Linked DNA regions of Macaca fascicularis. The protein of the gene in region 2 purifies or fractionates together with the protein of the main gene of each other region. This does not show direct contact. Links are inferred from orthologs where the notes say so. Each region holds a gene or a part of one and is shown on either strand. Other genes may lie near its edges.

Region 1 (3,814 bases), on a different chromosome or scaffold from region 2:
AGAAAGAAAGAAAGAAAGAAATTGAGCAATACTTTTGTTTGTGCCGTTTCAGTGAACCAGCTGTTTTTTTTGCTGGGTCATCATCAGTAGACAGTTCCTGTGTAATCATGAGGGGAGGTGCAGGCTGAGCTCTAGTAAATCTGCAGTTTACCATTTCTCCACTAAAATGCCCAGCAATGCTAAGTCACTGTTTACACAGCAAAATTGCACTGGGTACCTGCCATGTGTCAAGGACTGTGGTATGAAAAGATGCAATACCATGTTCAGGGAGCCCACAGTATAGGCGTGGGTAGGAAATTACTGTGTAGGGGGGTAAGCACCGTGAGAAGGGTCTGCATTGTGCTGCAGAGGCCTGGAGTAAAGGCACCCACCCAGACATAGACCTAACATACCCAAACAGGTGATTGCCAGCCTGAGATCTGGCATGTGGTACGGGATAGCCCCACTTGTCCACACATATTAGTGAGAGAGGGGCTCAGTGAAGTCAGTGGGTGGAATGAATGATGCCGGTTTCTCTTTTGTTTCTCAAAGATTTCTCCGTGGACGATGGCAGCCACGATTCAGGCCATGGAGAGGAAGATTGAATCGCAGGCTGCTCGCCTGCTTTCCCTAGAAGGTCGAACTGGGATGGCTGAGAAGAAGCTGGCCGATTGTGAGAAGACAGCTGTGGAGTTCGGGAACCAGCTGGAGGGCAAGTGGGCCGTGCTGGGGACCCTGCTGCAGGAGTACGGGCTGCTGCAGAGGCGGCTGGAGAATGTGGAGAACCTGCTGCGCAACAGGAACTTCTGGATCCTGCGGCTGCCCCCGGGCAGCAAGGGGGAGTCCCCGAAGGTAGCCCTGGGATTCCTTGGGGTTGGGGAGATCAAGTGGCCAAACCCGTGAGCGTGTGGGTGAGCGAGTGTGACACTTGTGGTTCTAGGTGCCCGTGACGTTTGATGATGTGGCCGTGTATTTCTCCGAGCAGGAGTGGGGCAAGCTGGAGGACTGGCAGAAGGAGCTCTACAAGCATGTGATGAGGGGCAACTACGAGACACTGGTCTCCCTGGGTAAGACCTGACACTCATTTCTCTGTTAAATAGGATTTTGCAAGTCCTCAAACTTCTCCTTCCACATAGTTGTTTTCATGACAGTGATATGTAAATCACCAAAAACACTGTTGACTTTGCAAGTTGTTATCTTTTGTGAAAGATGAGCCCTGGGTGATGGAGTTAAAAGCTCCCTTCTCCTTGTGTTGAGTTTCCCAGAATGCCAGGCTGGGAAAGGCGGTGGCTTCTCTCCTACGCAGGCCCAGGGTGTGGACCTTTCTGTTCTTGCTGACTTGGAGCAGGAAGGCCCCTTCTGCTCTCAGATCCAGTATGTAATTGACTCACATTAGAGAAAGACTCTTTCTTTCAGTCTTCTCCTACAAACATGCATGGCCCTTATGGCAACTTGCCTGGAGGTCAGTGGAGAACATGGGCAGACGGTGCTGCTTGCGGCAGACATTGTCTTCACGCCTCAGAACGTTGCTTCCCTCAGCCTGTGGGGCTACTGCTGCTCTCCTTGTTTGATCCTGCCCAGGAAGGGCCCAGACTGTTTCTTCCTGGGCTGATTTCCTCTTCCCGATGGTTTCTGTGTGACCCTGGAGCCGAGGGCAGCGAGGCCTATTAGAGAGGACAGGAGCAGGTGCAGATGTGAGGTTATGTTTCGTCAGCACAAGTGCACTGCTGTGTAACATGCGTGCTCTGCAGCAGTTTCTTCACCCCAGCACTGTTGACATTTTGGGACCAGGTGATTCTGTGTGTTGGGGGCCATCCTCTGTATTGTAGGATGTTCAGCAGCAGCCCTGGCTTCTACCTTCCAGATGTCAATCACCTTTCCCCCAGCCCTGGGCACGACAACCAGAATTGTCTCCAGACTTTGCCAAATGTCCCCTGGGGAGCAAAATTGCCTGCAGTTGGAAGCTCCTGCTCTGTGACAATCAAGAGATTTCGTTTCTAGACTATTGTTGGTTTTCCGGGCTGACTGTTCCCAGCTCTGACTGGAACATGGCAAAAACTAACCTTCTGTCTTTCCTCAGACTACGCCATCTCCAAGCCCGAGGTCCTCTCCCAGATTGAACAAGGGAAGGAGCCCTGCCACTGGCGCCGCCCTGGCCCCAAGATTCCAGATGTTCCTGTGGACCCGAGTCCAGGTAAGGGCTGGGAGAAGGCCAGGGAGGCCTCAGGTGATATGCGGGAAACAGAGATGGGAAGGCCAGAAAGGGTGTGACCTTTCCAGAGAAAGCTGAGGAGAAACAGGAAACTTACAGGTTTTATGTCTGAGTTTTTTATAGTTGAATTTTAATCTCTAACTTATTCAGCTAATGCTCCAGAAATGAACACTTTCTATCAGGGAAACAGGTGGCAAACCTAATCTTTTAGGAAGAGACAAAGGCAGGGAACAGAATGAGGGGAGGGAGAGGAGGACACCGAGAGGGAAGGCAGGAGCATAGTTGACCCTTGAACAACGCAGGGGCCAGGGGCAACAGCCCCCGGTCCCACGCAGCCAAAAATCTACGTATAACTTTTGACTCTCCAAAAAGTTTGCTGATAGTCTCCTATTGACCAGAAGCCTTATTGATAATACAAACAGTCAATAACACATATTCTGTATGTTCTATGTGTTACATAGTGTATACTTACAATAAGCTAGGGAAAAGAAAATGTTTCTAGGAAGATCATAAGGAAAAGAAAATAGGCTGGGCGTGGTGGCTCACACCTGTGATCCCAGCACTTTAGGAGGCCAAGGCAGGCAGATCACGAGGTGAGGAGATCGAGACCATCCTGGCTAACACGGTGAAACCCCATCTCTACTAAATATACAAAAAATTAGCTGGGTATGGTGGCGGGCGCCTATAGTCCCAGCTGCTCGGGAGGCTGAGGGAGAAAGAGTGGCGTGAACACAGGAGGCGGAGCTTGCAGTGAGCCGAGATTGTGCCACTGCACTCCAGCCTGGGCAACAGAGCAAGACTCTGTCTCAAAAAAAAAAAAAAGATATTTACTACTCATTAAGTGGAAGTGAGTCATCATAAAGGTCATCCTCATTGTCATCTTCAGATTGAGTAGACTGAAGGAAGAGGAGGGGTTGGTCTTGCTGTCTCAGGCGTGGCAGAGGCAGAAGAAAATCCATTTAGAAGTGGGCCTGCATAGTTCAAACCCATGTTGTTCAAGGTCAGCTGTATATTGACAACAAAATTAATTGAAAGCTTTGCAAAGAGTCAGCCTTGCCTCCAAGAACCAACCTTAATTTAAACCCATAGCAGTTGTAGAACATACACCCATTGGTCAGCCTTATGGTTTGGTATGATTAGAAGCACACATTTATTTAAGGTGAATCTGGTTACCAGATATCAGTGTCTCAGATTTCCCTGGAGCCAGTCAGCACCTTTGAAAGTTAAGGGAAGGACAGGTGGACACAGGAGAAAAACCAAATTCCTAAAGTGAAGACCTGCTGGGTCATTTGACCACGGAGACCACATCTCTGCAAGGCTCGACCCCTGATTCCTCCAGAAGACCCGCCCTTGACCGTCCCACCTGCCTTGGTTTTCGCTTTCGCCTGACACTTAAAAAGGTGGTGTTCCGCAGAGGCCCTCCTGTGCTCCACTTGTGTGAAATTAAATGCCTCCCCCATGTTCATCATCTCATCTCAGTCAGATTTGCACTTTCCTAAGGGTAGAAGCATGTTCCGAGCTGGGCGCTTTGCTAGTCGTCATCAGGACATTGACAGTTTAGTTCTACAGATGTATTTTGAGAATTTTCTAGGTGTCAAGGACAGTGCTGAATGCTAGAGGACA
Region 2 (3,814 bases):
TGAAAAATAATTGAATTTTATGTTCAGATTTGAATCCTATCCTTAAGATACCTCATTAGGGCCAGGTGCCATGACTCACGCCTATAATCCTAGCACTTTGGGAGGCCGAGGCGGGCAGATCACCTGAGGTCAGGAGTTCAAGACCATCCCGGCCGACATGGTGAAACCTCATCTCTACTAAAAATACAAAAAATTAGCCAGGCTTGGTGCTGGGCACCTATAATCCCATCTACTTGGGAAGCTGAGACAGGAGAATCATTTGAACCAGGGAGGCAGAGGTTGCAGTGAGCCGAGATGGCACCACTGCACTCCAGCTTGGGCAACAGAGTGAGACTCCGTCTCAAAAAAAAAAAAAAGATATATCATTAGATGTATGCGGATATTAAAAGTTGCAAAATCCAGAACACTTCTGGTCACAAGCATTTATAGAAGTATACTCACCCTGTACTTTGAAATAACCATTGGTAGTTTCATACAGATTAGGTGCAGTGAGGAATCTGAAACTGTATTAGTGAATTTTTCTTTTGTTATATTAACGTTATTGGTCACTCTTGTAATTTGAATGAGTTCCTTACATCCATGTGTGACTTTTTTTTCCTGAAACAGAATCTACTCTGTTACTCAGGCAGAGTGCAGTGTCATGATCTCAACTCACTGCAACCTCTGCCTCCGGGTTCAAGCAATTCTCCTGTTTCAGCCTCCCAGGATATAGAAAGGAAGGATTATAGGCACGCACCACCACACCCAGCTGATTTTTGTATTTTCAGTAGAACAGAGTTTGACCATGTTGGCCAGGCTGCTCTTGAACCCCCGGGCTCAAGTGATCTGCCTGCTTCGGCCTCCCAAAGTGCTGGGGTTACAGGCGTGAGTCACTGTGCCTGGCCATGTGTGATTTTTAAAAAAAAATTGGTTCACTGAGTTATAAAGATCTTCCAAATGTTAACACATTTTATTACATTTTTTTGAAAAAGTCACATTTGTTACTTTTGCCACTGATATCAGGTAAGCATTTATTCGTCAGCTACAGAGCTTGTAGTGGCAGATACAAGTTTTACAAAATTCCATTTTTGCTTAATAGCTTGAATTTTTATTTATTTTGAGATGGGGTCTCACTCTGTCACCCAGGCTGAAGTGCGGTGGCAAAATCATGGCTCACTGCATCCTCGACCTCCTGGGCTCAAGTGATCCTCCTACCTCAACCTCCTGAGTAGCTAAGACCACAGATGTGCACCTATTCCTGGCTGTTTTTTTGGTTTTTTTTTTAATAGAAACATGGTCTCACGGCCAGGCGCGGTGGCTCACGCCTGTAATCCCAGCTCTCAGGGAGGCAGAGGCGGGAGGATAGCTTGAGTCCAGGAGTTCGAGACCTGCCTGGGTAATATAGCGAGACCCCGTTCTCCACAAAAAGGAAAAAAAAAAAAAAAGACGAAACATGGTCTCACTTTGTTGCCCAGGCCGATCTTGAACTCATGGGATTTCACGTGTGAGCCACTGTGCCCAACTTTTGAATTGTTGTATTGGTAGCAAACACTGTCAGTTCTTTTCTTTGAGGTGTGACAGGTTTACTTCATTTTTGTGAAAATGTGTGCCCTTCCCCCCCCCCCGCCTTTTTTTTTTTTTTTTTTTTTTGAGACGGAGTCTCGCTCTGTCGCCCAGGCTGGAGTGCAGTGGCCGGATCTCAGCTCACTGCAAGCTCCGCCTCCCGGGTTCACGCCATTCTCCTGCCTCAGCCTCCCAAGTAGCTGGGACTACAGGCGCCCGCCACCTCGCCCGGCTAGTTTTTTGTATTTTTTAGTAGAGACGGGGTTTCACCGTGTTAGCCAGGATAGTCTCAATCTCCTGACCTCGTGATCCACCCGTCTCGGCCTCCCAAAGTGCTGGGATTACAGGCTTGAGCCACCGCGCCCGGCCTTTTTTTTTTTTTTTTTTTGAGGCAGAGTCTTGCTCTGTAGCCCAGGCTTGAGTGCAGTGGCACAATCTCTGCCTACTGCAACCTCCGCGTCCCGGGTTCAAGCAATTCTCCTGCCTCAGCCTCCCCAATAGCTGGGACTACAGGTGCACACCATCACACCCGGCTAATTTTTGTATTTTTAGTAGAGACGGGGTTCACCATGTTGGGCAGGCTGGGCTTAAACTCCTGACCTCAAGTGATAACGCCCACCTCGGCCTCCCAAAGTGCTGGGATTACAGGCATGAGCTGCGCTCAGCTGTGTATCAGTTGTTCTTTCAAGTAAAAATGATACTCCATGAAAAAAGGATTTTCTTTCTTTTTTTTGTCTTTTTTTAAGAACAGAGTCTCTCTGTTACCCAGGCCAAAATGCAGTAGCACTTCCATAGATCTGTGTCTCAAAACAAACAAATAACAACAACAAAAACTGATACAAACTCTGGTTATTCAGATATGGTACCTGGGCTCAAGCAAATCCTCCCACCTCAGCCTCCCAAGTAGCTGGGATTACAGGTCCAAGCCACCATGCCTGGCTAAGGACTAGTTCTTTTAGTGCAAATAAATGCATGGCAAGGAACAATACAGTGACTATCAGTACAATTTTGTGTCGCTACCTGATTTATGCTTAAGTTAACAGTAATTTTACCCAACATAGCGTTTGCATCATGTAAAATTCAACTTAGTGGGAAGGGCAAGTAGCATCTTAGTGTTGTTATTAGGAAAATAGCTTTGACCTCATGTGCGTTCTGAAAGGAGGAGTGTTCATGGATGTATTTTACTGATGAGAGGGGCCTTTTCATGTGTTGGGACCAAAAAAAAATAAGCAGACTGAACTGCCACCCTGTAAGCAAATATTGGTAAATTTAAGATTAGCATAAGATTGGTTTTGCTGTTTCGTGGTATTCCTTTGAAGTTATTCCCAATTGAGGGAAGCTTTCAAGGCTGGCAGTAGGTGAGATGCCTACTGAGTAACAATCAGAGGTCAGGTATACATGCCTTTACCTGCCTCCTATCAGAGTATTCACGGTGTCTCTCTTTTTCAGGTGACCCCGAGAGTGTGGCTGGGGAGTATGGGCGGCACTCCCTCTACAAAATGCTTGGTTACTTCAGCCTGGTGGGGCTCCTCCGCCTGCACTCCCTGTTAGGAGATTACTACCAGGCTATCAAGGTGCTGGAGAACATCGAACTGAACAAGAAGGTGATGCCTGTTGCCTCTGGCCCTTCTTGCCAGAGCCAGAATATGTATTTCTAGAGAACCACTCTGATCTCTTAGGACAAATTTCCAGGAGAGGAAAGAGGACTCTTCCCTCAGGCCATTGAAAGTTGAGACTAAAACTGGGCAAACAGCTGTGGTAAAAAGCTGGACCTGGACGATTTTGATAGTTAATGACAGTTTTTTATTCTCTTTTCAAAATGGAGTGATCATGGCAGCTTGCTCTGTCGCCAGGCTGGAGTGCAGTGGCGCATCTCGACTCACTGCAACCTCCTTCTCCTGGGTTCAAGCAATTCCCCTGCCTCAGCCTCTTGAGTAGCTGGGACTACAGGCATGCGCCACCATGCCCAGCTAATTTTTTTATTTTATTTTATTTTAGTAGAGATGGGGTTTCACCGTGTTGGCCAGGATGGTCTCAATCTCCTGACCTCATGATCCACCCACCTTGACCTCCCGAAGTGCTGGGATTACAGGTGTGAGCCACTGCACCTGGCCCATGGCAGTTCTTTACTCTTCACGTTTTGCTAAAGGATTGAGAAGGCCAGTTGCAGTGGCTTACGCCTGTAATCCCAGCACTTTGGGACGCTGAGGCAAGTGGATCGCTCGAGGTCAGGAGTTCGAGGCCAGCCTGGCCAACATGGTGAAACCCTGTC

The links.
Region 1: the proteins of EIF3L (region 2) and ZNF746 purify together in Homo sapiens (affinity purification with mass spectrometry; 3 studies listed by BioGRID and IntAct, counting the BioPlex papers as one, with this or other methods). This does not show direct contact. The link is inferred for Macaca fascicularis from reciprocal best matches to the Homo sapiens genes EIF3L and ZNF746.

What each region holds. Positions count from the first base shown.
Region 1 is NC_088377.1:191,152,247-191,156,060, reverse strand, and holds part of ZNF746 (zinc finger protein 746), read left to right. Parts: intron 1-531; coding exon 532-831; intron 832-919; coding exon 920-1,046; intron 1,047-2,059; coding exon 2,060-2,173; intron 2,174-3,814.
Region 2 is NC_088384.1:13,745,926-13,749,739, reverse strand, and holds part of EIF3L (eukaryotic translation initiation factor 3 subunit L), read left to right. Parts: intron 1-2,991; coding exon 2,992-3,146; intron 3,147-3,814. UniProt on the Homo sapiens protein: Component of the eukaryotic translation initiation factor 3 (eIF-3) complex, which is required for several steps in the initiation of protein synthesis.